Linked DNA regions of Cricetulus griseus. The protein of the gene in region 3 binds, or shares a complex with, the protein of the main gene of each other region. Links are inferred from orthologs where the notes say so. Each region holds a gene or a part of one and is shown on either strand. Other genes may lie near its edges. The genes, in order: Tom1, Clta, Myo6 and Gipc2.

What was found.
Region 1: the proteins of Myo6 (region 3) and Tom1 are in contact, whole or in part, in a crystal structure (PDB 6J56), measured with the Homo sapiens proteins. The link is inferred for Cricetulus griseus from reciprocal best matches to the Homo sapiens genes MYO6 and TOM1. Residues at the interface, in NP_001355794.1 of Homo sapiens: Ile1182, Phe1184, Trp1202, Gln1214, Glu1216, His1218, Asp1220, Lys1221, Pro1222, Ile1224, Leu1226, Glu1234, Met1235, Cys1236, Leu1238, Glu1242, Thr1243, Gly1244, Leu1245, Arg1247; in NP_005479.1 of Homo sapiens: Ser440, Glu441, Phe443, Phe446, Leu447, Arg450, Ala451, Ala453, Ala454, Asp455, Leu457, Pro458, Asn459, Leu460, Ser461.
Region 2: the proteins of Myo6 (region 3) and Clta are in contact, whole or in part, in an NMR structure (PDB 6E5N), measured with the Homo sapiens proteins. The link is inferred for Cricetulus griseus from reciprocal best matches to the Homo sapiens genes MYO6 and CLTA. Residues at the interface, in NP_001355794.1 of Homo sapiens: Met1053, Thr1054, Pro1055, Met1058, Ala1059, Met1062, Ser1087, Trp1089, Lys1090, Tyr1091, Glu1113, Arg1117, Leu1118, Val1120, Tyr1121, Trp1124, Asn1128; in NP_009027.1 of Homo sapiens: Glu47, Asn48, Glu50, Ala51, Phe52, Ile54, Leu55, Asp56, Gly57, Gly58, Ala59, Pro60, Gly61.
Region 4: the proteins of Myo6 (region 3) and Gipc2 are in contact, whole or in part, in a crystal structure (PDB 5V6H), measured with the Mus musculus proteins. The link is inferred for Cricetulus griseus from reciprocal best matches to the Homo sapiens genes MYO6 and GIPC2. Residues at the interface, in NP_001034635.2 of Mus musculus: Ser1055, Lys1056, Trp1057, Lys1058, Tyr1059, Arg1084, Arg1085, Leu1086, Val1088, Tyr1089, Trp1092, Lys1093, Asn1096; in NP_058563.1 of Mus musculus: Glu255, Leu256, Tyr257, Met258, Gly259, Ile260, Asp262, Asp264, Leu265, Thr268, Thr289, Leu290, Asp292, Phe293, Ala294, Pro296.

Annotation. Positions count from the first base shown.
Region 1 is NC_048596.1:150,804,913-150,813,198, reverse strand, and holds the start of Tom1 (target of Myb protein 1), read right to left. Parts: upstream 4,936-8,286; 5' UTR 4,830-4,935; coding exon 4,778-4,829; intron 1-4,777.
Region 2 is NC_048595.1:99,472,516-99,480,088, forward strand, and holds part of Clta (clathrin light chain A), read right to left. Parts: intron 3,362-7,573; coding exon 3,250-3,361; intron 1-3,249. UniProt on the Homo sapiens protein: Clathrin is the major protein of the polyhedral coat of coated pits and vesicles.
Region 3 is NC_048597.1:191,155,063-191,162,635, reverse strand, and holds part of Myo6 (unconventional myosin-VI), read right to left. Parts: intron 5,687-7,573; coding exon 5,581-5,686; intron 3,120-5,580; coding exon 3,064-3,119; intron 2,625-3,063; coding exon 2,527-2,624; intron 1,820-2,526; coding exon 1,655-1,819; intron 1-1,654. UniProt on the Homo sapiens protein: Myosins are actin-based motor molecules with ATPase activity. Unconventional myosins serve in intracellular movements. Myosin 6 is a reverse-direction motor protein that moves towards the minus-end of actin filaments.
Region 4 is NW_023276806.1:7,255,014-7,262,163, forward strand, and holds the end of Gipc2 (PDZ domain-containing protein GIPC2), read left to right. Parts: intron 1-3,791; coding exon 3,792-3,940; 3' UTR 3,941-4,041; downstream 4,042-7,150.

The DNA.
Region 1 (8,286 bases), on a different chromosome or scaffold from region 3:
ATGAGTGAGTGAGCCAATTACAGGAAAACATCATGAAAATAATAATAAAGGAGGCATGCAGATACAAAAGACTAAAAGGTGGTAGATGAATGTGGCAGTTGAGAGCACTGGACCTCCCTTCATCAGAGGGTAAGCGTTAACGTGTCCTGAATCCCCAGCCTCCTTCTGAAGTGACAGCCCCAAGATAGTTCTATATTGAGGACTTTAGTTTAGCTGCTCAAGCATCACCCCTTAAGAGCAGAAATGTAGAACTTTACTCTTATTTCTCAGAGCTCCATGTAGGAACAAAACCTATTCACCAGCTCAGTCCACACAGTCAGGCTGAGCTTTATCCCCAGGAGAGCTGGCTCCATCCTACAGCCTGAAACCTGACCTGCTGTGAATGCCCTGCCGCCCAGCCACCCAGCCAGTGACTGTTCACATCACAGGGACACAAGGACTAACACAAAAGCCGCCCTGGAGTCTGGGCCCTGCATTGTTACCTTAGCTCCGTCACCAAGTATGCCCAGAACAGTGATACCACCAATGAGAGTCCCCAGCTGTGGACTCCTCTTGCCTGGCAGGCACCAGTCCAAGTGCTTCAAATGCCACACATGACACAGCAATCCCACCTGACAGGTGCTATTATTAGCCTCCTTATACAGATGAAGGACCAGAAGATAGTGAGGTTAATAACCTACTCCAGGACACAGAGCTAGTATTTTGATTCAAGGTCACCTTGGCCTTTTACTAGTATTTGTCCAGCCAGGGCATAGCCCTATGTAGACTAAGTCTCACTCCATGGAACAGGCTGGCCTGGACCGCACAGAGATTTGTCTGCCTCTGCCTCCTGAGTGCGGCATGAAAGGCATGCAACACCACACCGACAACAATAATACTTAATGGCACATGGAAATGACATAAACTCAAATTCTACAGCCCACAGTTTTATTGGAGCATGGCCACACCCATGTATTTACCTATTGTCTCTGGCTGCTCTTATGCAATAATGGCCTTGTTGAAGTATTTAACAGAGACCATATGGCCTTCCTAAGCCTTGAGGACTGACTTTGTGGCCCTTTGCAGAGTAAGCCTGCTCTAGTCCACCCTAACAGCCAATGCAAGAGTCCTCCAAGGCAACTTCTCCTTTGACCTTTACCTTTCATCAAGAGGTAGCAGGGGATCTCATTATGAACAAGGTAACTGGCACACCTCTGACAGGTCCAGAGTTGGCTGCTTAGCCCAGCACTGACTTTGTAACACCACACTGCCCCTCTGTGCCTTGTAGTACGAACTGTTCCCCATTTCAATTACGTTTCAGCTGCTGTTCAACTGTCTTTGGGGAAGGGAGGAAGTGGGGCACCTCTGTGTTTCATTACAGATGGGGATAGAAGATAGTCAGCAGTAGACAGTGACTGCCCAACATCTACAACATGGCCTAGCCTGTGTGTTTCTAGCCTATCTTCCCCAAAGGAACCTCAGAGCCCTGATGCTGGCCATTCATTTCTGATTTCTGTCCATGGGCCTATGGGTAGGCTTTGGGAATCCAAGGACAGCTCTACCCTCTGGTGTGTGTGTGTATGTGTGTGTGTGTGTGTGTGTGTGTGTGTGTGTGTGTGTGTGTGTGTGTGTGTGTCCTCTTCCCTCCCCATTTCCTCACATGGTATGGCTCACTCACTATGTTCTCCCTTTAGTCTATAAAAAACTTTCTCCTCCACCACACCTAGGAGCAGCTACATCCTTCTTTTTTTCTTTTTTCACAATCTGCTAGGTGCTAAGGCACCAGGAAAGGAAGGGATAGCTCCTGATCTCAAGTCAAGCCTAGCCTGAGGGCAGACTTGCAGGGATGGTGGCACATCTGTGTGACGGAGGTGGAAACAGTAAATGATGGTGAGATAGCAGGCGCTGGTGTTCCCTATTCCCTACACCCTCTCGCTGTGCAGGCACTCTCCGGGGAATTGGCATTTTTTACAACCACTCTCAAGCAGAAGAGTCGAAGCATACAAACTGAAGTTCTCAGAAAAGCTACTTCTGTGTTGAAGATGTTAGAAGGCTGACTGACAACAACTTTGTGATTGTGGAGAGTGGAAATGTTGCAGATCTTGAGACAAATGACCTTGCTTTAGACCCTTTATTAAGCATGTATTGCTCATCTCCGAGTTGTGATCTAACAAGTCTGTGACTATCAGGCAACACTTTTGGAATAAGTTAATAGAAAACTAGTGTCCACCAACCCAAGGGCTAGGAATGCCATCAGCTAGCACCTGAGAAGTGCAGCATAGATATTCGTGCTTTGCTGTATCCCAATTGCCTGATTTCTGGCTTACTTTTGTTTTCTGTAGCTACGAAAACATCATGAAACCATTTCCCATACTGGATCATGTTATTTGGGGTGATAGGAATCTGTGTTCCTGGGTCACAGCAATTCATATTTGGCTCAGGGATAAACTATCTCTGATTTCCCTTGAGGTGAGAGCTGTTTTGTGCCTACTGGAAGCAGAGTGACAAGAGAACAAAAGAGCAGCAATTGGAGCTGGAGTTAGGAAAGGCCGCAGGGAAGAGGTGATGGTGCCCAGTGCTCTAAGGGATGAGCCCAGCTCCTCCCAGAAGCAGACATTGTAGGCAGTGAGACCAGCAAGCATCAGGTGTATATGAATTGTGAGGACAGTGACACTGGGCCCTGATTAGCACCATTTAGTGATTGCTGTTCTCTAGTATGCCAATCATACAAGATTCTACTCTCAGGGCATGAAGCCAGACCTGAGAAGACACCATTTTACTCCTGTAGCAAAGGGAGGGGGGAGGGTCTGAATTACAGGAATGCAAGCACCTAAAACCTGGCCATCGATCATCACAGCCAGCCAGGCCCATTGGCATAGGGACAAGGTCTCTGATACTTGGAAGCTGATCAGGGAGGACTGCTTGGGTCCATAAGTTCCAGGCCAACCTGGGCAACAACTGAGACTCTATCTCAGACAGACAGATACATACCCCTTTCAATCTCCAGTACTTCTGTCTCTCTATACATGGAAGACTATGGAACACTGATATTGTTCAAGGTAGGGCTCTCTATGTAGTCCAGGCTGGACTTGAACTGAAAATAGTCCCACTTCAGCCTCCTGAGGGCTGGAATTATAGGCATGCTCCACCACACTGGGCTCTTTTACAGCCTCTTTAGTAGCCCTGGAAGGCTCATTTCAGTTGTGCTATCAATTCACTGGGTTTTTGGGTGAGTCTCAGTCTTCACCACCTTCCCTTTGTAGAACTCAATCCCCTCCCTTCAGTAACAGGACTTTGCAGACTGGTATTTTTTGTTTTGAATCAGGGTCTTATTCTGCAGCTCCATGCTGCCCTGAAACTCATTTTGTAGTCCAGGTAGCCTGAGACTTGGTGGCAATCCTCCTGTCTTAGTCTACCAAGTGCTAGGATTACAGGTGTGAGCCACCGCTTCTGGTGGCTCACACCTGTAAAATTTGTGGTCTCCTAGCCAATTGCAAAGAGCATTACTGGGAACTCCACAGATGCCAGTCTGAATCTGATGGGTCCAGCCAATTCTGACATAAAAAAGGCAGAGGGTCCAGTTGTGAGATGTAGTTAGCACTGAGGTATTGATATAGCACCATTCTGTCTGTCCAGAAGTATTTCTTGCCCAAGGAAGGCAACCTTTCAGGGTAGGAAGAGGTGTTGAGTTCTGAACAACTGATATGCACACTGAGCCTAAATAAGCACATCCAGAAAGTCTCAGGACTTTGTGGTTGGCTTTGAAGAATGGAATAATTAGCTTGTTTTTACATAGGAAGTTTGTGAAGAGGGTTGTCTTCTCTTTCCAGGTCACAAACGAGGACTCAAAGATGGGGCTTTTGCGAAGCACCTGGGTTTCAGGCACTAGCAATGCCCTGCAGAGAACTGATGAGAACCTCCAAACTTACAGCAGTGGCGGTTACAACACAAAGCTGGGCTAACGACTTCGGGGAAGCCTTGGCAGGAAGAATGCAAAGAATGCCTTAACTAAAAGATCCAGCCTGTTCAGTCTGGATCCAAGGAGAAAAGCCACCAAAAAGAATTACACAATGCTGTCGGGACCCTTCAGACAAGAAGAGGGGTCACACCCAGACCACCCATCCCTGGAGAAATGTCGCCACCTGAGTAGGTACTGGGAACCGGCACTTTCCCACGGGCTCCAGCCCCACAAGGTGGTACCACAGTGACAATGACAAGCATTAGCCATGTGTCAGGCAGCATCCTCAGTGCCTTGCGCTTAATAATGCATGTAATGATCAAACAACCCCAGGAAGGCCGGGCCACCGTCCCTTAACTACGGTCGAGGCGACGTCACACAAACCCGAGTCTCCCGACAGCGGGGACAGAGGCGTGGCCGAGCCCAGACACCTCAGGAGTCCCGGAATGTGAGGGGCCGGTGACGCGGCGAATGACCTGAGCGCGGCCAACCCGGGAGGGACCTTCGGCCTGCCCGAGCCTGGCGGCGGCGGGGCCCCACACCGGCTCACCACAGCAGTCCCTTTAACCTAAACTTTCTCCTTCTACTCCGGACCCCAGCACGCGCGCATTGGCTGAGCCACATCCGCCTCCTCTCCCTGCCTATTGGTCACCCTCAGCATCAATCCCCACACGAGGCTTCTGACTGGTCCGCAATCTTGTCAATCAGGTGAAACACAGGTGGGGCGGAGCCAAGAGCGCCGCGCCAGCCTCGCCGTCTGCCTCCCTCCTCCAAGGACTCCGACAGGTCCCCGGCCAGAGCTAGACAGGGGCGCGGCTGCGCGCGGCTCCCGGGACTCACCGATGCGTTGTCCCACCGGAGAGCTGAACGGGTTTCCCAGGAGAAAGTCCATTGCCGCAGCTACCGCTGCCACCAGCTCCCAGAATCAGGTGACAGCAACCGCCGGCGCCGCCGACCCGTCACGTGACCCGCTGGCCGGCCCGCGGGGCGGCGGCTCTGGAGCACAGCCCCGAGGCCCCGCCCTCCAGGCCACGCCCCTGAAAGGCCTCAGTTCACTCTGCGGCGGGGCCTAGAAGTCTTCACATCCGGAAACTGGGTCTCTGGCCAGGGAAAGACTTGGATCAAGTTACACAAACTCAAGCCCAGGCTGGTAGCAGGGTCTTAGCCTTTAGTCCTGGGGACGTAGCCCTGAGAGTAACAGCCTCCTTGACTTTTTGATGTCTCCCTGCTCCACGAGCCACCTGTGGGTAGCCCAGAGGAGGCAAGGGTCTGGACTTGTGCTCTCTTAAGGCAGCGAATGAACTCCATCTATGTCCAGGGCAGTTCTACTTGGCAAATGGGGACAGTGCTTTTTCTGCATCTGTTTCCCTCAGTGGTAAAGGGGGACACTATCCATAACGCTTTGAGAGTATTAAGATGACATGCAAATTGTTCAGTAATGGGCATTCAATGACGGTGATTTCTTCTTTGACTTATCCTTATAAGACATGTTTTAATTCTCTTTAGTGTGTGTGTGTCATGGTGAATACAGAGGTCAAAAATCACAACATGCAGCAATCCTCATTATGTAGGTCTCACAGACTAAACATGGCAGCTAGTACCTGTGAACCATCTCACTCCTCATACTCTGCAGCCTTTTTTTTTTTTTTTTTTAATATATACTCTCCCTAGGCTAGTCTCAAATTCAGATCTCCTGAGTGTTGGAATTACAGTCGTGATCATTAAAACCCAGCCTTTAACACCAGTTTTATTTTGTTACTTAAATTTTTTTAAAGATTTATTTATTATGTATACAGCGTTCTGACTGCAAGCCAGAAGAGGGCACCAGATCTTGACAGATGGTTGTGAGTCACCATGTGGTTGCTGAAAATTGAACTCAAGACCTCTGGAAGAACAGCCAATGGTCCCCAGCCCCCACTACTTATACTTTTTAACATGTTGTATTCTATTAACTTTTTTTAAATCATGAAAGGTCAAATTTCCACATATTTAATGTTCATAATATTACCAAACATTCACTTTGGGCCAGCTGGCTATAGACTCAGAGACAGCGAGTCTTTTTTTTTTTCCCCTTCAGACAAGACTCTGGAAGCTCCTGGGACATGGACTATATATTTTCAGCACAGGATTTTCATGCAACCCTGACAAAATACTGATGGATACTTGATTTAAGCCAATACCATAATGTATAGGGTTTCACTGGCCAAGCATTAGAGCCACAATTTATCAGGTTCTCTAGTTTTACAATATGCAAATGATACTTGGGAGCCTGAGACCCAGGATGGGTAAGAATATGAAAACTTGACCTTTATTCCAGGTTTTGGCTTAAAACTTTTTAAATATAAATTATGTGTATGTGTGTGTATCTGTGTGTGTGTATGTATTTGTGTGCTGATGCCTAAGGAGGCTCGAGAGGGTGCCTGATCCTCTGGAGCTGGGCTTTAGCTTGGGTCCTCTGCAAGAGCAGGCAGTATTCTTAACCACTGAACCATCTCTTCAGCTCCTGACCTCTTTTATCGAAAAATTAAGAGTAGAACAGAGTGAATAACAGTTTTATAATTTTATAGCAACTATGAGTAACCCAAGGGAAAAGACAGCTAAGGCTACCACAAATATTAAAAATGAGATCTTTAATATAAGTACAAAATTTTGTTTTTTATACAACTGTAAGATTTGGATCAAACCACTAGGATTTATTTAAAAAACAAAATAAAACAATGATATAAAAACAGCAAGAAGGCCTGAATCCAAAGTTTTTCTTCTAATAGTACCAAATACCACAAGTTACAGATTATTATACAAATGTGTACAAATCTTTAATACAAATACAACAGGGCTAGGTTTCAGAGGAAAATGAACACGAAAAAGCCGGTTATCACCAGGAGTTCACTGCTGTCTGTAGCAATGACAACAGAGGACTGGCTGCTTCCTGCACTATGTGTGCCTTCTTGGCCTCTCCTTCACACCCTGTTTCTTAAAGGAAACTTCTGCAGGTTCAAATGAGATTCTGACCTGTTAGCTGAAATTTAAATTTTGGTTCTTCTTGATTCAGTTCCCACATATTCCTGTTTCTTTCTCCATTTCCCAGAATACATCTCAACACTGCTCTGAACTGAGAAAGACTGGATGTCCAGAACGCCTGTGAGGCGCTAAGCTATGAAACACAGTGAGGCTATATGGGAAGGAATTAAACAGGATGGCAGCTGACTACATGGTCCCCAAAGCTTACTGTGATGCTGCCTTGTCCCATTTAGGCCAGAGGGAGAAAGCATGGTTACCTCAGCATGGTTTTGGCAGGGAAGGGAATCTCACACCAAGCTTCCAAACAACTCTGGAGTGCTCAACTATCTTTTAATGGGGAAGCAGGTCTTTGGGAATAAGGGCAGTTGGGAATTGTGACATTTCTTTCTACTTCACTTTGCTAACATTATTGAGGGCCATGAAGCTCCTTTCTGAGTCATAACACCTTAACATATGGATGACCTGGAGCTTTTAGACAGACACGAAGAAATGACAAGTCTGTATGCTCCACATGCTACTGCTGGTGGAGGCTTGTTATTAAATTATATATACAGAAATTTACAGGATAAATTAAAATCTAAAAATTCTAAAGAGTTAAATACACATAATTAAAATATATGCTCACATACACACATAGATAACCCCATTGAGAACCGAGGGTTCCTTTGTGATCCACATGTGTGAGGAATGCAGAGCACAATCTGCCCATCAGGGGAACCAGAGCTGAACTAAGAAGCTGCAGAATCTCTCAGGATTTGGTGGCCAACCAACAAAACAAAAGATACCAGCTTTGGTTTTTATAGACCAAGCCTTCTTGGCCAGCCAATGTAGGCTCAAAGGTGGCACCAACAGCTTTGGCCTCTCCAAGCTATTTCTCTGCTGCCAAGAATCACATAACTAAGGCTATCAGTGGTATCAATGACTCTGTGGTAACAATGGTTACAATAAAATTGGAGACACAGATACCTGTTTAGTAGAAATGGAATGAGTCCCCTATTAGTCCGCCTAAGCCATCTCTACCTCCCCTCAGGTCACTTTGAGTCAAATAGTTTGTAGTCAGCTGGTCTCCTCCCATAATCTTTACTATATTTCCAATTATAAGACAGGTAAGGCAAATGGTCAGTGATGGGTCTGGAGGTACAACCAAGCTTGGGGGAAAAAAAATCACATTTTAGCTGTCTATAACGAGATACACATGGCACCCAGAATAAGCCCCTAGTCCCCAAATTACACTGATTTTTTAAGGCAGATTTTTTTTCACACAAAAAAATAATCCCAAACCCACATTCATGCCAAAGTTTCCTTTTCAGCTAAACCCTTGCCATTTC
Region 2 (7,573 bases), on a different chromosome or scaffold from region 3:
GGAGGAAAACTGGAAATTTCTGATTTTTTGAGACAGGGTCTTACATTGTAGCCTTAAGGATGGCCTTAAACTTGGTAAGTAGAAGAAGATGACCTTGAAATTCTGATCCTCCCGCCTCCACATCCCGTCCTAGGAATGCTGGGATTAGAAGTATTCTCCATGGCATCCATTGTATGCACACAGTGCTGTGGACCCAGCTCAGGGCCTCACAGATCTCTGCAATCACTACTGACTCAACTACACCCTTCAGTGGAGTTTCAGTTTATTTTTACAATGCACACACACCCTTGACTCTTTCCTACTTCTCTACATAAAAGGTATTTGTGCAAATTTAAAGAAAGCAAAAGGAGCAGCCTGGCTGTGACTCAGTGACTCAGCGGGGAAACAGCTGCTATGGAGTAAGTGGGAGGCACAGAAGAGCAGGCAGCGTGTACACTCTAATCCTTTTAGTTTACAGAAGGGCTCGGCCTAATCCATCTCACTTCAACCGGAGAATAAAGGTTTAATGCCTCCCATTAAGGAGCATTAAAGAACAACAGAAGCTTCTCTATCAGGCTCTCCCTCTTTGCAACTATCCCCAAAACTAAAGAGTTTGTTGATGAGAAGCAGGGCCTCTAAAGGACAAACAGAAAACTAAACCCAGCAAACACAGGCCCCCCACCTGTGTTTGCTCTTCTCCCAGCTTAAGGTGGAGCTGGAATCAGCCACTGTCAGAGAGCTCAGGGAAACCCAGGAAAGGGAGAGAGGGATGCCTGACAACAGGACAAGCTCCATAGGCCTAAAATAACAATTTAGAACTTCGTTCTATAAATAGCGTCACAGTGGACATGGTTTGAAAAAGAAGTCTACCACGGCTAAAAATAACTAGATTCCTCAAATGTTCTCAGGCCGTGGTAGAACTGAAAGTCCCAACACAAGAGACTTCTAATTGGGGAATGTTTCTCTTCTTGCTTGGGAAGGTAGTTGTTGTAGGATGAACTGCAGGAGACTACCACTCTTCTGACTCTCTGAAAAGAGGATTTTTTCTTATGGGCTACCACTGAATGACTTAGGATAAAGGGAGATGCAGTTTGGCACTGACAACACAGTACCATCGACATGGGAACAAAGACCCCTCCTGTCTGCTGACTCTTCCACACCCCCCTCTGCAGGACAGGGCCTGGACTTGCTCTCAATGTCTTGGTGAGGTTCTTTTTTTTTTTTTTTGAGACAAGGTCTGTGCATACAAAGCATTCATTTCTATCTCAGCCAGATTGTAGTCCATAAATGGCTTGACCTCCACCCTCCTCCTTCACTCTGTGGTGCTGTGGGCTGAACTCCGGGCCTTGCAATATGGTAGGCAAGTGCTCTACCACAGAGCTTTCTTCATTTCTAGAACTTCTAATGATCTGCAATGCCTCCTAACCTCCATCCTCTGACCCTCTGAAGAAATCACTGGAAGCCTGGTGGTGGTGGTGGCAACAGCAGCGGCAGCAGTGCATGCCTTTAACTTAACCCTCTGCTCTGGAGGCACAAGCAGGGGCTCTCTGTGAGGTGGAGGTCACCCGCCAGACGGAGCTCACAGAGAGAGCCCAGAACAGCCCAGACGACACAAAGAGACTGTCTCAAAAAATAAACAAAACTACTGCAATAGTGAGGACATATCTTCTATCCTAGGAGCCTGGGGGTGGTTGGCTAGAGTACCTCCAGCTCTATGCACAGACTCCAGCCTGTGAGCAGGTTTGACAGGCACTGAAGCTGGATTGTAGCAGTGTCACATTAACACTCCATGAGAAATCTTTTCTCTCTGGAACATGAGGGGATCACACAACTCAATACCCTACATTTGCAAGAAAAGAAAAGTACTACAATCTGGCTGCATGCTCAGCACCTCAGCCTCTAAGGTTAAGTCCTACAACATACATGGGGCACTCCTTTAGAGAGGCAGTAAGCAAAACCTTCTGCAACAGGAAGCCTGTTCCCAATACATTCACTATTGAGTCTGAAATCTATTTGTCAAGTTGTGAAGTCCTGAGGATCTGGTACAGGAAGAGTTAGTGCATTTGGCCCAGTTACTGTGGAGTACATCATTGCTGGGGAATATCACCACACCACAGCACCCTTCTTTACTACAGATCAGACTCGAACCTGGGGGGCAATCATCTAGAGGAGGCAAAGCAGAGGAACCTGTCAGCACTTCACACCAGCACAGCACAAGCTTGGGGCGGCTGGGTGGCAACTAGCCCTGACCAGACAGGAGTCTCCACCCTAATTGACATAAAATTTCAAATAGAACCTGAAGACACTGTTCTAGGGTGTATCCCTCAGAGAATGACCAGGTTAAGAGGTCTGGGCCTGGCATCAAAGAACAGTGCCAAGGAGGACCAAAAAAAGCACAGGAAGTTTCATAGGACTGCCATATGAAAGAGCCCATCTATTCTGTCACAGACACCTCACAATGGTATCAGCTACATTTTCTGACAGATTTCTATCTAAGACCAGCCCAAAAAGCAGCGCCAGACCCAGCCCTCAGAGATCAACCCAACGCCCCACCCTTGTCTGTCTTGTGTTTCATTTTTGTTTTTTTAAACAATGAAATGAGTGACATGCCTCCTACTCAGTAAAAGGTGGCTCTGAATCCAGCAGAAAGCAAGTTAAAATGCCTTGCCTACAGGAGGCTATACCACAAGTGTCTTGCTAAACTATCCAAGGAAGGGCTCCTCAAAAATGAGTGCATACCACAGCTAATGCATGGTAATGACAGGAAAATGAGCATTTTCTCCCTACATTATTAACTTTCAGCAAATGAAAAATGTATTCTGAAAACAGCATTTTATTCAAGACACCTTAAGCATAGGAAGAAGCCAGTGAACCCTTAATTCTGTAGTCCATGTTGGAATATCCTGAGTTACCTAATTACAGAGCATGCCCATTCTAAGGACCCTCACAAAGCCTCGTTAGGAGGGCAAGGCTACACTTATGGAATGTGGCCTAAGTTAGTCTGTAATTGTTTTCAAGTAATGAGACTCTGCAACTGACCTTTCATCTCAGGGTTCTCCAGTGCTAACTTCCCTGGATCACACCATTACAGCCAATGAAACCAAACCCAGTTTAAGAGCCCAACTCAATCCAGGCTGAATTATTCTCATAAGACCCAGGAGTTTTTGCAGCTTGTTTCTAGCAGTTTCTTCCAAATTGGCCAAGACCTTTCATACAAGTGGATCTGGAAAATGGATGTGATTCAGTCACAGAGACCCACAGTGGACTGACCTGTTGTTTGCTTTTGTTTTCTGTAGCTGTTCATCCTGTCTCGCATACCATTCTTCCAGCTCCTTTATTGCCTTTTCTTTCCACTCTGCTTCCTGCTTCCGAGAATTGGCATCTTTTAAAAGAGAGGAAAGAATACAACTGAGGGAAGGCAAAATTTAAGTACATTTCAACATGTAACATTTTGGTCTTACTGAATTTACCTAAGTATGGGAATGTATGTGTACGTATACGCTGGGAAAACGACGGGAAGCAGCTAGAGGGATGGCTGCTTTGCTCTTCCAGAGGACCACGCTCCATTTCCAACACCCATATCTATCACACATGGCTCACATCCACACATTAATTCTAGTTCCAGGGGATCTGATACCCTCTTCTGACCCCTACAAGTACGTCACACATGTGGTGCACAGGGATAGATACAACTTTTTTCTTTTTTGAGCCAGTATTTCATATAGGTCAGGATGACTCTGAACATAGACAACCTTGAACTTGTGGTTCTCCTGATTCTACCTCCCAAATGTACATCTCTAGACTACAGACATGTACAACTCTGTCCCATTTAGTGCCATGCTGGGGACTGGCCTCAGGATGCTGTGCATGCTAGATGAGCACTGTCCCAAGTGAACAGTATCTTCTACTCTTCCCACAAACCGTACAGTCTACCCCCACAGTAACCATTCATGTTTTTATAAAACACTAACTTGCTCTCCTAACTATAAACACAGTAGAAACACTTGTATGAGGCAGGTCTAAGAAGAAAATTAGCAGAGGCAGAAGTGACTTGGGAATCCAGGACTGGTAGGACACAGAGCCACAGACGGAGTTAGCTTGTAACAGAGCCAGCTGTGAAAGCAAGCAGGGATGGAGGGGACTGCAGGACCAAGGACACGGGATCACTGTTTGACAATCACCCAGAATTACTCAAAACACGAGAGGGAGAAAACTCACACATGCAGGGTTTCTAGTCTGGATTCTCAAACATGAAATGTCTTTTCTCTACGTTTTTGTTGTTGTTATTCCTGTGTGTAAATGTGTGTGCATTCGAGAATGCAGGTACCCAGAGGTCAGAAGGCATGAGAACCTGTGGAAATGGAGTTACAGACAGTTGTGAGCTGCCATGTGGGTGCTAGGAACTGAACCTGGGTCCTCTGCAAGAGCAACAAATGCTCTTAGCCATCTTCCCAGACCAAATGTGAAGCTTCTTAAGATTAAATATGGTTTTTCTAAAGTGTTTAGCTGACCATCATCTGTCACAAGGTGTAGTGTGCTTGGCACTTGAGCTCACTCTAATGGTCACATGTTCTCAAGGGCGTCCCCTCCAGCAAGTGTTTTACATGCATCGAAATCTGTACAGTACTCCCAAGATCAATCTAGGTCCATTTTCAGCAGTGAGGGGAAAAGAAACAAACCACCTCAGAAGACTGAGTGGACTTGGCACAGTTAAGGGCAGAGCAAAGACCTCGTCTGCTCTCAAGCTCACACTTGACTTCCTTATTATGCAAGCCTGGAAATAATCACATGATGTGACCATCAAGGCTACCAGTAATCCAGAGAGTTCTAAAAACACAGAGCAAGAGCGAAAGCTGTAATTAGTATCCTGGAGAAGGAGGTAGAAAGTAAGGTGATGCCAAGTCATCATCTGAAGAAACAGAGCATTCCTGGGCACTTTTATGACCTTTGCAAGAAATGCACCAATAATCAGCACAGGCTACAGCTAGCTGGAGTAGCCTGGTGATGATTAGGAGTCACTGCCAAGTTTCACGTCATTATTACAAGCTCTCCATTTTGTTGTTGAACTCATTAGAAGATGGCCTAGCACTCAGGGGGGACTCATTTAGTTGGAGTTTCCACTAAGGACTCTAATATACAGCCAGGAAACTTCTGATGGTCCTGTCCACAGCACACGTAGAACAGAGGATTCTGGAAGTTGATGAAGTTCAAGGAACTAAAAAGCTTCTACCAAACCTAGATGCAAAGTGGAATTACTTCCCAAAAAGCCCTTTTTGGGCTGGCAAGATAGCTCAGTGGGTAAAAGCACTTGCCGTGTAAGCCTGATGTCCCATGTTCGCTCTCTGGATCCCTACAGTAGAAGAAAAGAACCAACTCCTTAAAGCTATCCCTGTGGCTTCCACGTGCACATCAAAGCAAAAGCATGAGTGCATGCGTATACACGAGCACACACACACACACAAGTAAGGACACAGAGGCCTCCCTAGGAAGTCTACTAAGTCTGTCCCATCTTCTAGCTGAGGCAGGACCAAGGCACCTCTCCACCCCTGTGTCTAGGCTGGGCAAGGTATCTCTCCATATAGAATGGGCTCCACTATGTCAGACTGTGACTAGAGTTAGATCTTGGACCCACTGCCAATGGCCTCATACATTATCCCACTCGAACCACTGTCACCTATATTAAGGGAGTCTAATTCAGTCTTATGCAGGTTCCCCAACAAATAAGGAAAAATTTAAAAATATTTAAGTGCTTTTAGATTGGAATATATCCTTTCCATGTATTCTAATGATCATTGCTTTTGTTAGGGCTGGGCATGGTGCTACACACCTTTAATCCCAGCACTTGGGAGGCACAGGCAGGTGGATTTCTGAAGTTTGAGAACAGCCTGATCTACATAGCAAGTTCCAGGACAGCCAAAGATATAAGTGATACATAACAGACAGATTCAGTCTTTTTTGTTTGTTTGTTTTTTCGAGACAGGGTTTCTCTGTGTAGCTTAGGAGCCTATCCTGGCACTCGCTCTAGAGACCAGGCTGGCTTCAAACTCACAGAGATCCGCCTGCCTCTGCCTCCCGAGTGCTGGGATTAAAGGCGTGCACCACCAACGCCCAGCCAGATTCAGTCTTTAGGGGAAAAAAATCTTTCTTTTTTCAGAGTCTCATAAAGTAGCCCAAAATGGACAATAACCTGCTATACAGCCCAGACTGGCCTCACACTTGTCTGTCTCCCAAGTGCTAGGATTAGAGGTATGTATCACACAGCTAGTCTATATTATTAGATGTTGGGGTTAGAATAGACAGACATTTTTCTAAGAAGGATTGGTCTAACAGAAGTAAAACTGTGACCATCTATAACAGGACATTTGTCTTCTGGCCTTGCTGATTAGGACTACCACGAGAAGTAACTCAGAATCCTTAGGGTTTAACCTGGTGGGACAGAGACTTAGGTGAGCAGAAAGGAAGAGTCTCCTTAGAGAGCAAGGCACACTGACAGGCACCTTCTTCCCCAGCCACCCTCATTGCTCCTTAGAGCAAGATTATTTGAGAACATGGCCACCAGCTCTATTTTAACATCTGTGCCTTCTCCGTTCTTGCAGAGAGAAGGGTGAAACTGCAGAAACCCCTAATCTGTGACAGTCTGACTGAAATACAAGGCCAAATGCTTGACTTCCCTCAAGAAGCTACCTTGAGCTGGGAGTGGTGATGCACACCTGTAATCTCAGCACTTAGGAGGATCGTAAGTTTAAAGCCAGTTTGGTTTATACAACAAATGTTAGGCCAAGCAGGGCTACACTGTGAGGCTCTGTGGAGGTGGGAGAAGACCTCTTAAAAAAAAAAAAAAAAAAAAAAAAAAAAAAACTCTCAAATAGTTCAATACACAAACTGGGTAATTTTTTTAAAAAAGAGACTTCTGTCTGTGAAGACAAACTCTCCTTCAATAAAGGCACAGACACCCAGCAGCCTGTTATTCATCTCCCTGAAGCTACACTCTCCAATACATTAGTTTCCAGACACACATTGCAACTGGAGTATAAGCTTACTAAAAATGAACAGTGTTTTAAGACTGAGCACCTGAATTCCAGTCATGCGTACCTGAATACCCACATGTGGTCACTGGCTACTAAATTGTTTATTACCACATACACACACTACTTTATCAAATGGCTACTATATTATGTATTGACACAACACAAACTTTATTAAAAACAAAGACCAATTGGCCATCAGTATAGATACCAGGTATCTATACCAAGTACTGCTATGCAGGGTCACTCTTTGTTCTGAAAGCTTTGAAAACTGTGCTAGGGATAAAAGATCTGGCATTAACTGCTTAGGTTATTTGGGTCAAGTTCTTTCCTGTTTCCAGGTGTCAGTTACCCCACCTGAAAAATAAGGAGTCATGTTTTCACTAGGTCAGTGTTCTGGGAGAAACCTACTACTGGTGCCAGTACATGAAGAGTGAGGTATTTCTAGAGTTATAGAATAAAACATGCTGGGTGTTGGTGGCAGACACCTTTGGTCCCAGCACTCAGGAGGCAGGTGGATCTCTGTGAGTTAGAGACCAGCCTGGTCTACAAGAGCTAGTTCCAGGACA
Region 3 (7,573 bases):
GACTGCCCTAGAAGAAATGAAATCCGTCCTGGTGGTCCATACCACAAAGGCAGGAAAGCCTTTAGTTGCTTTTGGTAGCTGCCCTTGCAGGATGCCCCTCACTGTACAGGGAAAGGCTGTAACTTCTGAGACTGAAATGCTATACTCCCAAGCCTCCAAGCAAAAGGAAATACTATATTAAAACCGTAACAGTCACTTTACTTTCTAGCCAGCTAAGTGTTGTCAAAATCTAGACATATATCATAATTCATGTGATTTCTAGTAACTTGTATTTCTTTTAAAAAAAAATCAAAAAAATTCCTCCTCTTTTTTTGTGAAAATATGATAAGCAATTATCTTCCCATTCCAATTAATTTGAGAATCTATTAATTGGAGGTCAGAAGAGGAAGTCAAATCACTTCAGACTGACAGGTGGTTGTGAGCCATCATGTGCATGCCAGGAACTGAACCCAGGTCCTCTGCAAGAGCAGCCATTGCTCCTAACTGTGGAGCCACCTCTCCAGCCCACACCAGCATTCTTTCAAGCAATCAAGTCTTCCACTAGGATTTTCAAATCTGTAATTATCACAGCATTGGGGGTGGGACAGGGTTGTATAGTTTCTTACTATTCAGCATAACAATCAGACAATTGTGTGCATTTTCCACCACATTCTAAGTTGCCCAGGAACAGGATAATGCCTTATTTATCTTTTAATCCTGGCACAATGTCTAGCACCCAATAATCAACCAAGCAATAAGCGTTTATTGCTGAACTGAACAAAGGGGTATAATGATGCATTATTTATTAACATTGGCTCAGTGATCAAAGTTTCTACGGCTACACTAAAGGTAATTTTAAGGCTAGTATTACAAAACCTTATAAATTTCCAACTGGGTTTAAATAAGATTTTAAACAACTGTCCTTTTACCTACTGAATTACATGCCTTCTCATATACTATTATGCATGTTGAGAATCACTTATCTCATGTATTTTGAAAAAGTGATTCAGATTGCAGAGTTGCTTACATTTCAGAGTATTTGCATAAAGTTTCATTTTCCTGGTGAGCTCACAAATTCAAAACTACAAAGACCCAGACTTCACAGTATTTGAGATTTGGGGTTTTCATATTAGAGATACTGAACTCATGATAGACTTACAAATAAATCTCAACAGAGAGGTCGTCAGCAAGACTATAAGTCTAACACATCATCTGGTTACATCTCAGGTATCCATGGTGTCGAAGGGGAATCAATACCTTGGCCCCTTCTGGATAGTAGATACCTAAGTTTGCGAACCTTTTAAAACAGCATCACACTTGTACATGATCTGCAAACACACAGCCTGTCAAATACTTCGAATTATGTGGAAATTATTTATAATCCTTACTACAATGTAAACATTCTGCGAAGGAATATTATTCCTTGCTATTTAGTAAAAATAATACAGAACTAATACATGCTCAGTATAGATGTATTCTTTCTTATCCCCAATATTTTCAATTCATGATTAATTAAGCCTGAGATATAAAATCTGCAGATTCAGAAAGCCCACCATACTTCATTTAATGTTAGTTATATACAAATACATCTAGGTATCAAAATGCAGTGAGTTTTAGCACTGAGAGAGTAAACAATTTGCAAACCTCGTATAAAATGTGTTTTCCTTCAACCTACCCGAAAATTATCTGGAGAACTCAAGTGAAGCTTCTCCCTAATGTCTTCTGAAGCCCCAGCACACAACCTGTAAAAAATATGGTAATTCCGCTCCTCTTTGCCTTGAACACAGATCCTAGACTTCTCTAGGAGATAATGAGAAACGAATCCTCCAACAACTGAACTCTAAAAGACAAAACAGAAAATACATTTTTTGCATCTATGGAACTGAAATATAACTTAATGTTAATTCAATCTTTTCTAATAATCATTTGCTTAGCAAAGAAGTCAAAAAATTTATCAAATATTACAAAAAAAAAACTAAATGTAAGCTCAGAGTATTTCTACAGCTCATCCTTCATTTTAAACACTGTTATCATCCGGTCTCCACCCTGATCCCTTCTAGCTTTTGAGCCTCTGCAGAATCAGAACTGACTTTGTGGTCGGCCCAGTGTCCCCAGCAGCCCACTGGGCAGCTGCTGAAGAGCTGTCAGACTGCCATCAAACTCACCTCATGCTGAGAAGACACTAACTGCTCTGATGTGATCCTCACAGACTATACAGATCCACAGATATACACATCACTATGTACCATGCTGTGCCCGTGAACATGAACATTATTACATGTTATCAAAACAATGAAAGAATCAAGTATGAGAAAAAATTAACTACAACGCTATGATTGATAACGCAGTCAACTCCAATATTTTAATTTAAACTGAATAGAAATTCTGAAGTCACTGTAAATGCACACAAGCACACACACCATAATAATTACAATAATAATCATAGTAATAATCTTAGGAAGAACTGTGCTAATTCCAATTCTAATAAGACCCTTACACTTACCACAAACACTCCCCTAATGTATCCCAAAAGCAGCTTTCTTTTACCTTTTCATTGAAGTGAATTTCCACAAATTTTCCAAATCGACTGCTATTATTGTTACGAACAGTCTTTGCATTTCCAAAGGCTTCTAAAAGAGGGTTAGCTGTTGAAAAAGAAATGAAAATGCTTCACCAGAAAAATCACGAGAAAGGCATGAAGAGAAATTATAAAGCAATATACATATTACATCTCCACAGGGGAAAATTCGGGGAAAGTGATGGAATAGATGCTTTTAGAAATATTAGTATGGAAGAATTATCCAGCAATGTCAAATTCCACAAGTGTGAAATGTTAACCCGCTGTCATGGTTTTATTTTTGATTGACAAGTGGACAAGGTCTAACGTCATCTATGAGACTAGCCTCTGGCACAGAGAAAGACAATAGGTTAATAGATCAGCATGAAAGTAATATCTGAGCAAATATTTATAGGAGGTAGAAAGTCTCTTCCACCTCTGAAAGAAAAGCATTGTAGGTCTCAGATAAGATTCTTCTAAGTTAACTTTAGAGGTACCCAACATTAAAAAATAAAAATCAACAATACCTTCAACAATTCTATCATCAATATCTTGACCAGTTCCATAAGATTCTGTCAGGTATCTGTTTAAAATATAGAATTTTAAAAAACTGAATAATATTCAGGACAATATATTTATAAATTTACTATTTAACATATATATCAAACTGAAACATGGAACATGGATCATCATTGTAACTGTTTAGTATTGTTTTTAAATTTTTTTATATTTTTATTTATGCTTCTGTATGTGTCTTGTGTGGGTATGTGCAGGTCATGGAATTATATGTTTGGAAATACTCTGATTTTTAACAAATTTTCAACTAGATTTACATAAGTATCCCATTAACTATTTAACTTAATAACTCTATACACTTCCATAAGAAATAGAAACCTTCATAAAGAACCCCACCATGAAAAAACTAAGAACTGTAATAAATTAGAAACAATACTGATAATAATTCAGAATGTGCTGGTCCTAGCAGTATCTTCACCACTGGATTTAACTTCCTTTGGTATGTGTGATGATTGGCATTGATCATCAACTCCATAGGACCTAGAATGACCTAGAAGACAGGTCTATGGCCACGTCTGTGAGGGATTGATATTTGTTAGATAACTGAGGTGGGAAGACCCACCCTTAGCATGAGTGACAGCATGCCATGTACTGGGATCCCAGACCATGTGGAGAAGGTCTAACAGGCTAAGGACAGCACTCACTCATCCCTCTCTACTCCCTGACTGTGGGTGGCTTCAATGTGACCAACTCCTGCCAGCACGCCTTCTCCACCATGGTGTGTTTGAACCCTTGAACCATGAGTCAAGATGAACTCTTCCTCTCTTGATTCCTTCTTGTCTGATATTTTGTCACAGCAATGAGACAATTTACAGAATTTAAATTAAAGAATAAGACTATAGTCATGTGGCAATGCTCCTTCCACTTTAAAAAGGTTGTGGCTATACACCACGTGTTGAGAGTTTTGTATAATGGTAGAAAGGGGATCTGATGAGAGAGGGATAAGAGGAAGTCTAAATAAAAAGTAGTTTCAAATATATTTCAAAGCACCAACATTGAGAATACAATGGAGATCCATAGCCAAGCGCCAGGCCAAGCTCTGGAAATCCAATCAAAGAGAGGGAGGAGGGATTATATGAGCAAAAGGGGTCAAGAATGAGACAGGGGAACCCACAGAGACAACTCACTTAACTTCTGGGAGCTCACTGACTTTAGACTAACAGCTGGGAACCTGCATGGGACTGAACTAGGCCCTCTGCATGTGGGCGACAGTTTGGTAGCCTGGTCTGTTTGTGGGACTCCTGTCAGTGGGACCAGGATCTATCCCTGGTACATGAGCTGGCTTTTTGGATGGAATGCCTTACTCAACCTCGATGAAGGGGGGATGGTTTTTGTCCTGCATCAACTCAATGTACCAGGCTTTGTTGACTCTTCACAGGAGGCCTTACCCTTTTTCTGAGGAGTGGATGTGGGGTAGGTTGGGGGGACATAAGGAGAGGAGAGGGATGAGGGGAGAGAAGGTGAACTGTGGTTTGTATGTAAAATGAATAAAAATTTTAATTAAAGAAAGACAATAGAATGTCCATTTGGATTTTGAAAGAATATTCCTGGGTTTGTCACTGCCTATCAAGCACTAACTTCATATAGAATCCTCCAAGAAACAACACATCAGAGCCAGCTATCTACAACAGAGAGATTGACTTCCACGCTTCTTTCTTCCAAACTATTCCATACAGTATACAACAGTATTAAAAGTCAATCTGCTTAAATACCCTGTGATTACCCCTACACACACACACACACACACACACACACACACACACACACACTCAAAACTGCACTATTCACAATGGCCAAATAACAGAAACAACCCAACTGCCTATCAATACATGTACAAATACAGCAAATAAAATAAATTCCTGCAATGAAATTTATTCAGCCCTAAAATTCAGGAAGGAAATTCTAATGCATACTATAACATACTATAACACTAGTGATTATATCTTTTTAAGAGTCAGGGTCTTATAAAGTTTTTTAGGCTCCTATGCCCTTGAAACGAAAGTTATCTTCCTGACTCAATCTCCTAAGAAGCTGAGGGTGTGTGTGTGTGTGTGTGTGTGTGTGTGAATTGTGTGTGTACACACATAGGTGCATGTCACTATAACCAGCTCAAACGTGAGTGAATCCCATATTAAACTAAATGAAACAAAGAAGTCACTGAAAGACTAATACTATATGATGCTGCTTAAATAGGTACTCAGAGAAACTCATAGAAACCCAAACAGGAAGTAATATCTTATTTATGTACTATTTAATGAGTACAGCATCTGAAGGAGTAATAGTTTATTCATGTGCTTTGTACAGTTCTGGGTTTTGTGAGGTGAGGAATAGAAACAACGCAATGACATGAATGTGACGATGTGAGTGTGCTTAGCATTGCTGAACTTCAAAGTGGGCAGTCGACAAACTTAGTGGTAAAGCTTTCTTTTACTACTGCTCAGAACATTTCAGATCAGCTAAATACTCACCTTAGAACAAACTTTGTATTTTCTGTTTTGCCAGCTCCCGATTCTCCAGACACAATGATAGACTGACTCATCTTGAGCACCTTCATGTCTCGAAAAGCCTTGTCAGCTGGAGGCAAAGTAAGACAGTAATACAGCAAGCTGAGTCACTGACAAGAGTTTAGTGTAAGGGTCTTTACTCCTAAAGAAGTCATGAATGTGTGTTAAAAGTCATCCAAAGGTTTCTGTAAGCATTCACTTGCAATGTTCCTAAAAGACAAGTAATAGGAAATCCGAACATCTCAAGATTGTGCTAGAGTGTTAGATTGTCTCCACATTGACTTTGGCTCAGCTTGCCCAAATGCCAGAGCAGATCTGCAGAGGGAAAGAAAATGTTCAGTGTGCATAACTAATGAGGTCCCCAGTGAAAAACAAGAAGCAATGAGTTTCCAATGAGAAATTTGGCAACTGAATCCATTGTGAGAGAGAAAAACAACTGAAAAATAAATCTACAGAAATTATTTCCAGCTCCATCCACTTGCCTGTAAATCTTAGAGTTGCATTTTTGCTAAAGCTGAGTGAGGAAACCAAACACACAAAGATAAACATCACATGTTTTCTCTCACTTGTGAGTGTTAGCCTTGAATCTTCAGATGTGTGTGTGTGTGTGTGTGTGTCATTTGGAATAACCATAGAAGTCAAGACATAAGTAGGGGACCATTAGGAAGTGGGGCTTTCAGGGGAGGGGGAATAGGATGCAGTAACATAAAGGGGAATAATGGAACAACAATGGTTAAATGGGGTAGGAATGGGAAAGCAGAATAAAAGAGGGAGGGGAAAAGGGTGAGGAACAGAAGGGCAGGATAAAGGAGGAAATATGGGGAGAGATAACTCATGCTAAAGACTTCCTAAAAGCAGTCATGAAAATCTACTGCTGCAGAAGCTTCCTAAAATATAAACAGACCCTCTAATGGAACAACAATGTCCCCACACTCAGAAAGACAGATATCCTACATTTTCTCTCATGTAACTTGAAAGCAGAAGGGAGACTAACTTGTGAAGAGGAGGGTCCAGCAAGAAAGAACAGAGGGACAACAGAGGATAAAGAGGAGGATATGAGAAAAATGCATGACATAATTTCCTATGAAAATGTCATCATGAACTCATTTTTGCACAGCAAACACAAGCTTTAATAACTCATAAACAATATCTCACCACAAAAAAACATTTAAAAAAAATAGTTGCAAAGCAATTTGTCTCAAGAAGACATGTGCTATACATACAAAAAAAATAGCTTTACAAATGACAAATGGCTTTGGCTCTAAGAATAAGCTACAAACAATATTGCATGGGTATTCCCACCAGCCCACTGTGATGCAAAGTGATACTGCTGGAAGGCAGAGGAGCCTTTGGGAAGGAGGACCCAGTAAGAGGCCCTTGGGTGACTGGATACACACTCTGACAAGGTGGTTTCTCACCTGTTCCCTTGAGTTCTTACAAGAGGGTTGCTATAAAAAGAGCAAGCCTGGTACCTCTGATTGTATCCAGAAAACACCATGTCCTATATTCGCCCATCACCTCTGCTCTTACAGTCTCTCTGCCTCTTCTTCAACAATGAACTCTGAGCCTCTACATCTGGTTGGAGATCAACTATGTGTTCCTGTAGCCATTGCTCTGTGCCAAGAGGGGATGCAGCCAAGAGGTGGTCTACACCACAGAGCCTGTGCTATGCTATGGATTATGATGCCCCCAGGCTATGAGCTAAATAACCTGCTTCTTCACAAGAGATATTTCAGTAGTAACAAGACTGATGACCATAAGCAGCACACACATCTCACTGTCCAACCTACAAAGGCCTTCTTATAGTTTGCCTCATACTGCCATTCTAAACACCTTTAGCAGTAAAGGCTATAAAACAAAAGCTGGTTTATTTTCATTTTAAGCATATAACTTTTCTCCAGTGATGAGCTTCATTATATTCAGATTCTAATGACTGTGCTGGTAGGAGAACATTCCA
Region 4 (7,150 bases), on a different chromosome or scaffold from region 3:
ATCTTAAAAAACACAAATACAGTACAGCAGAGTGATGGATAACAGGGAAATGATTATAAATGGATTTAAATCATAAGTCTTTAAAGATGAATCTTCTGGGTTCATGTGATGGTTCAGCAGGTAAAAGCCATTGCCCACTAAGCCTGGTGACCCAACTTTGGTTCCAGGGATCCATAAGGTGGAAGGAGAGTACGGCTTCCTGAAAACTGAAGTTGTCTTTTGACATTCATAATCCACACTGTGGTGTACCAGTGTAGCACAAGTTCTAATAGGTCTTAATAATAAAAACCCAGAGACAAATATTGGGGTTAAAGCTGAAGATCAGAGAAGCAAATCAGGCCAGCTACTGGAGAGTTCTCACCTCTACCAATGCTCAGACCAGTAGGAAGGGCGATCCTGACCTCAGACTGCAACTGTCTCCTCCAAACCTCAGACTGCCCTGCTCTCCTGTCCCCTCCAGCCTTATCTTCCTCTCTAGTGCTGGGATTAAAGGTGTGGGATCCCAAGTGCTGAGATCACCTTTGGGTGAGCTCTATTCCTCTTTTAGTCTGGATCGACTTTGTGTAGCTCAGGGTGGCCTTGAATTAACAGGGATCCATCTGCCTCTGTCTCCCCAGTGCTGGGATTAAAGGTGTGTGCCTCCACTGCCTGGCCTCTCTGACTGGCGAGTGTGACTAGCTTTGCACTCTGATCTTTAGGTAGACTTTAATTGTTAGATCATAAACAAAATATCACCTCACACCAGATGTTTCCTCCCCAAACACACACACACACACACACACACACACACACACACACACACAAAAAAAAAAAAAAAAAACACTGAAGAAATAAATGTAATTTAGACAAGAACCTTAAAATAGAAGAATGAATTTTCTCTTGTGCTCAGAAATGCAGACCATTAAATATTCTAAAATATTCATTGAAATCACCCAGTGGTCCCTTGTTAGTTTAATTAAACATCTGTAGCAAATTCCTTTGATTGACACGAAGCCATTGTCATCATACATGATTAGTAGTGTCATCAGTCACTTAGGGAGGCAAAGTGTAAGGAAAGTAATTATTTGAAGAATTTCAGCTGTGGTTAAATTAGGAATTTCTGTTGTTCAGAAATGATTAGCATGAAATGTAATTCAGAAATGTTAACCTAACAGACAAATGAAAGCCTTTGCTTTTCAGCAAGCCAGTACTACTAGCTTCTGGGAATGCCTTTCCTCCCTCCCTCCCTCCCTCCCTCCCTCCCTCCCTCCCTCCCTCCCTCCTCCCTCCCTCCCTCCCTCCCTCCCTCCCTGCCTCCCTCCCTGCCTCCCTACCTCCTGCTCCTGCTTTCTTTCTGCTTTTTTGAGACAGGATTTCTCTGTGTAGCCCTGGCTCTCCTGGCACTCACTCTGTAGACCAGGTGACCCTCAAACTCAGAGATCTGCCTGTCTCTGCCTCCCGAGTGCTGTGATTAAAGGTGTGGGCCACCACCGCCTAGCTTCAAATGAGTCTTTGTAGGAAATACCTCTGAGGATGAATGTACGTCAATGGCTGTGAAGCTACGCTGTGAAATGTGATTTTTCAACCAGCCAAGCTAATTACCTTGAGATGTTATCTGTAAAGAAAAAAAATTCCAGAAGATGTTGAGTGTGTGTGTGTGTGTGTGTGTGTGTGTGTGTGTGTGTGTGTGTGTGTGTGGGTGATCTAACTCAAGGATACATTGTTGTACTTTCCACCTTCAAGATTTAAGGCAATGGTGTAACTGCCTGTGTACCTACAGTGTTTCCTGATACCAGTCTAGGATTTTGAAACTAATTTTGACAGCTTAAGAATTATAAAAGTTAATCTGTTAAAAATACTAGAATGTGTGGGAAGGCAATTAAAATGGTAGTTCCTAGGTTCTTTCCCCCACAATACCTTTGATAGCTGGTTAGAAAGATATATATTAATGGTGTTTCCATAGGGGGGAACATATTTCTTCCTTGGGTTCCTGGTACTGGTCAGTGAAGTCACACACTGTGAAGAGCTCCTTCTGAGTTGAGATTAATGAAATCTGGAGTAGATTTTTATTAAAAAGTGCACTGCAGAGGCTGGAGAAACAGCTCATTGGTTAAGAGTGCTGGTGGCTCTTTCAGAGGACCTGTTCCTCACAGCATGTCACAGTCATCTGTGACATTCAGTCACAGGGCATGTACCATCTTCTTCTGGCCTCCATAGGCACTGCAGACTTATGGTGTACAGACATATATGCTGGCAAGACATCCATACACATAAAAAATAACAGATAAATAAACAATGTTTTAAAACACATATTGTAGGGCTGAGGGTACAGCTTATAGATAGAACATCTACCTGGCATATATGAGACCCTGATACCACACACACACACACACACACACACACACACACACACACACACTATATACACATGATACACACACACACACACACACACACACACACACACATATAACTATATACATACACACATATAATAAAAATGTTAAGTAATAGGTCAATTTTTATACCTAAAAGTTCTTTAAATATTCACAAACTTAATGGAGACTGTGTTGGTCAAAATTTTGTGGTGGTAGGAGCATAAAAATACTCTCAGAGTGGCCACAAGAGGTCAGCACTTAGCTGTAATATGTGGCATTAAAAAAAATCCTTTGTGGTCACTTGTGCGTCTCAGGAGTGGAACTTCATGGGCTTCTCTATCCTGGGCAAAGTCCTTAGGGAATGTGTGCTCATGGGAGTGCTGTTTCCCAGACATAGAACACAGAGTTTAAGTAGCTTCCTAGGAAGGCAGACCACGCATCCCATGGCTAATTTTCAGTCCTAAACCAGAAGGTGCTCAAGAAAGATGCTGCAGAACTCAAACCGCTGTAGTTGTAAACTATTCCTTTGGAAAGCGAAGAATACGCTCCAGCTAGTTGGGAGTAGGGCGTGGATGGAAGGCACAGAGGGTGTTACTGTGGGGAGGTGAGGTGTGTGCTAAGATTCCTGGTGACGTTAGCCGTGAGCTTCTCTTCTCTCTTCTCTTCTCTTCTCTTCTCTTCTCTTCTCTTCTCTTCTCTTCTCTTCTCTTCTCTTCTCTTCTCTTCTCTTCTCTTCTCTCCCCTCCTCCCTCCCTCCTCTCTCTCTCTCTCTCTCTCTCTCTCTCTCTCTCTCTCTCTGTCTGTCTCCCCCCTCTTCCTCCTATGGTTTTTCGAGAAAAGGTTTCTCTGTATTGCTTTGGAGCCTGTCCTGTAGACCAGGCTGGCATCAAACCCACAGAGATCTGCCTGCCTCTGTCTCCCGAGTACTGGGATCGAAGGCGTGTGCCACCAATGCCCGGCTGCCATGAGGTTTTCTTAAAATGTGTCTTCCACCCTCAGAATTGCTGGAGGGTTGCAGAGAGGACTCAGTAAAATACTTCTCTTGGATACACAAGTTTGATCTACAGAGCCCGTGTAAAATGTAGATGTGGTGGTGCAGGCTTTAGAATTTAGTGTTGGGGAAGTGGGGATAGGAGGATTACTGGTGCCAGCACAGCCTGCCTAGTGAGCTCCAGGCCAGTGAGGGCATCAAAAAGGTGGCTGGCATCTCAGGGTTGACACCCAAGGTTGCATCTTGCCTCTCTGTGCATATTCATATACCCCACACCAGCCCAAAACCAAAACAACACCAAAGAATTCTAGAGACTCCCAAGTGATGGACTCTCAGGCTGGGGACAGGGCAGTGGTGACAGCTTCATACCAGATACAGAGGACAGAGTCAGTCCTCTGGTGCTGGCTCATGGCTTATTAACCTTTAAAAATTATCATTGACAGCTACGACCATGTTTGAAGCTGGAAAAGACAAAAGCAACCCGGATGAGTTTGCCGTGGCACTTGATGAGACTCTGGGAGACTTTGCCTTTCCTGACGAATTTGTGTTTGATGTGTGGGGAGCCATTGGCGACGTGAAACAGGGAAGATGATGGTGTGGACAGTCTTCCTCAGAAACGACGAGGGTTCCTTCCAGGGCAGTCTCCTTGGGGACTCTCAGGGATCTTTATGGACTCTGCTTTAGCTTCATGTGTATGAGACACAGTCTATGAAACGTAATTCTGATTTATGGATAATGTTTAATATAGTTTCCTATGCAGTATGCTTAAGATAAATTAAACTATGATTCATTTTAATGTTGGTTCAAAAGCCTCTGAAAGTGATTTTTAAAGAAACATTTCTACATGGGTGGTCTCGTCCCCTGTTGACACTCATGCCTTGCGTGGCACATTAAGTAGGTTGCTTACAGCAGCTTTGTGGGTATTGGTCCTCCATTATCTTTTAAAAAGTGTATTTGTCATTACGGTGTGTGTTGATTGTATGTGTACCATTGCTTGAGGAGGCCACAAGGGGGCGTCTGCAACTGTCTGTAACTCTCCAGCGGGATTTGCACACCGCTGTGAGCTGCACATGGGTGCTGGGAGCTGAACCTGGGCTGTCTGCAGGAGCAGCCAGTGCTCTGCAGTGCTGAACCCTCTCTCCAGACTCCTTTCTTCCAAAATCTTAACACGATGGGAATTAGGCTTAGAGCCCGATTTACCTCCTAACATCTTCATTTCACTACATTAATCTAAACAGGATACATATAGAAAATGAAATACAGATGACATCTGCCACAATCTAGAAGCACAGTTTTGATTTTTAAATGAGCAAGATTGTTTTGGCTTACTGGTTCCTAGGACACTCTTTGTAAAGCATTGACTTAAAAAAAAATTACGATTGCCCTTAAGAGCAATTGGCTGAAGTTGTGCTGTGTGCACAAATTGTGTGTGTTTGTGTGTGTGTGTGTATGTTTGTGTGCATGTGTTTGTATGTTGTGTGTGTATGTGTGTGTGTATGTTTGTGTGTATGTGTGTGTATGTGTGTGCATGTGTGTGTATGTTTGTGTACATGTGTGTGTATGTGTGTATGTGTTTGTATGTTGTGTGTATGTGTGTAGGGGCTGGGGATTGAAAAAGTGACGGGAAGAAGCAGTTGTGCTTTTTGTTTTTTCCTGACTTTGAAGTATTCTTTCTGTTTCCATCTACAGTGTCTTTCCTGATAACTTTTCTAAGGCCTCCAGGCCAGGGTTTATATTTGTAGAACTTTTATTTGGAAATATATTTGCTCAGAAAATAACTGTGTTTGAGATGCCGCCTTTGGTGTGCGTGTGTGTGGTTTAAGCAGCAATCGTTTTCATCCTTCCAAACCTTGGAGGGAACGCTGTCAGGAATTGATTCCCGGTGGAAATAAGGGGGAGGGCAGAGTGGAAAGACTCGCGCTGGGCTGTTATTTCAGAGTTCTCGCACCCTTCCTCCAACCCTTACCTTGTTGAGAAGATTGAGGGGAAATGACAGTCTCACTCTTCTTGGACATTTCACAAATGCAATGGAGATGGAAATAAATGGCTCCAGAGTAGATCATTTAATAAGGTGGAGGACAGCGTGGCCGAGCGCTCCAGTGCATCTGATGGAAAACACTGGGCACGGCGGCTGTCATCAGGCATGATAGCCGGGAGGGTGTCTTCCGGGAAACCAGAGGTAATGCCTTTTTCATGAGGGTTACTGTCGGGACAACTCTGTCCTTTTCTCTAAAGATGTCGCTTTTGCTGTCACCTCTTCTGTGACAGTAGAGCAACACTCTGGCTGATTTTCCTTGTTTATTAGTCTGAACCCTGCATGTGAGCCACTTGAACTAATGTGGAGCACAAGTATCCCCTAAGAGTCCAGCTGTTTAATTCTTCTGTGTGCTGTTAGTGTGATCTGTTGGTTAGTGTTCAGCGAGTCTCCTTTGAAGGCTTCAAAAATGCCCGTACAGTCTTAGATACAAAGAAAGAGCCGATGTTTTAGGAACGGGAAAGTTGCTAGGTGAAGTCGGAGTCTCATAGATACATGGTGCTTTAAACAATAACAAAAGTGTAATTTTTTTTTGGTCAGTAGATGGTAGATTTGAAATGTTTATTATATGTTTTTATCATCATTGTGATTTTCTTTTGGTGTGTTTGCATGAGTGTGAGAGTGTGGGAATATGTATGTATGTAGGAGAGTGTGTGAGTGTGTGTCTGAAGTGCAAGCGTGTGACTGTGTTAGCGAGTGTGTGTGAGTGAGAGAACTGCTTTGAATGTGGAATTCATGTTTCTCTGGCTAGGCTGGGAGCTAGCTAGCTCCAGCAATCTTGTTCTTCATTGTTTCTTGTTCTTAGCGTTCCTTTTCTCATAGTTAGTCTGCACTCCACTCCGTGCTGTGGTTGCGGGCATGCATGGAATGGTACCCAATGTGTGCTGCTGTCCACTCCGTGCTGTGGTTGCGGGCATGCATGGAACCGTACCCTTTGGCCCTCATGCCAGCACAGGAAGCACTCTTTATTGCTGAGCCATCCCGTTCTCCTCGCCTTTGCTCTTTTCTTTTGACAAGGCCTCTCTGTGTTGTCTACTCTGGTCCTAGCCCAGGTCCTACTTTAGTCCTAAATACCCAGGACTGCTGATGCTTGCCACTGTGTCTGGCTAACTGGCTATTCTTTGCAGGTGTCATGAGGTAGCAGGAAGTTTGAGTCAAGGGAAGAATAGAGGAGAGCAAGAAAAGAGACACCATAATAGAGGAGCCATTATAGGCTTAAAGAGAATTCTGGCACTAGGGAAATGTCCAGAGATCAACAAGTTCAACCCCAACTAACAATATAAGCAATAGTTGAGAGGCTTCCTTAAATGCTCTTTTCCAATAATGATATTGATGCCTATGTTATATGTCATCCTAGCGTCTTCATCCAGTGGCTGATGTAAGCAGAAGCAGAAACCCACAGCTAAACACTGAGCTGAACTCCTGGAATCCAGTTGCAGAGAGGGAGGAGTGATGAGCAAAGGGGTTAAGACCAGGTTGGAGAAACCCACAGAAACAGCTGACCTGAACAGGGGGAGCTCATGGACCCCAGACTGATAGCTAGGAAACCAGCATGGGACTGATCCACACCCCCTGAACGAGGATGTCAGTTGGAGGTCTGGTTAATCTATGGGGCCACTGGAAGTGGATCAGTATTTATCCCTAGTACACGAATGGACTTTGGAGCCCACTCCACATAGAGGGATGCTCTCTCAACCTAGACACATGGTGGGAAGGTCTAGGTCCTGTTCCAAAGGTTATGACAGACTTTGAAGATTCCGCATTGAA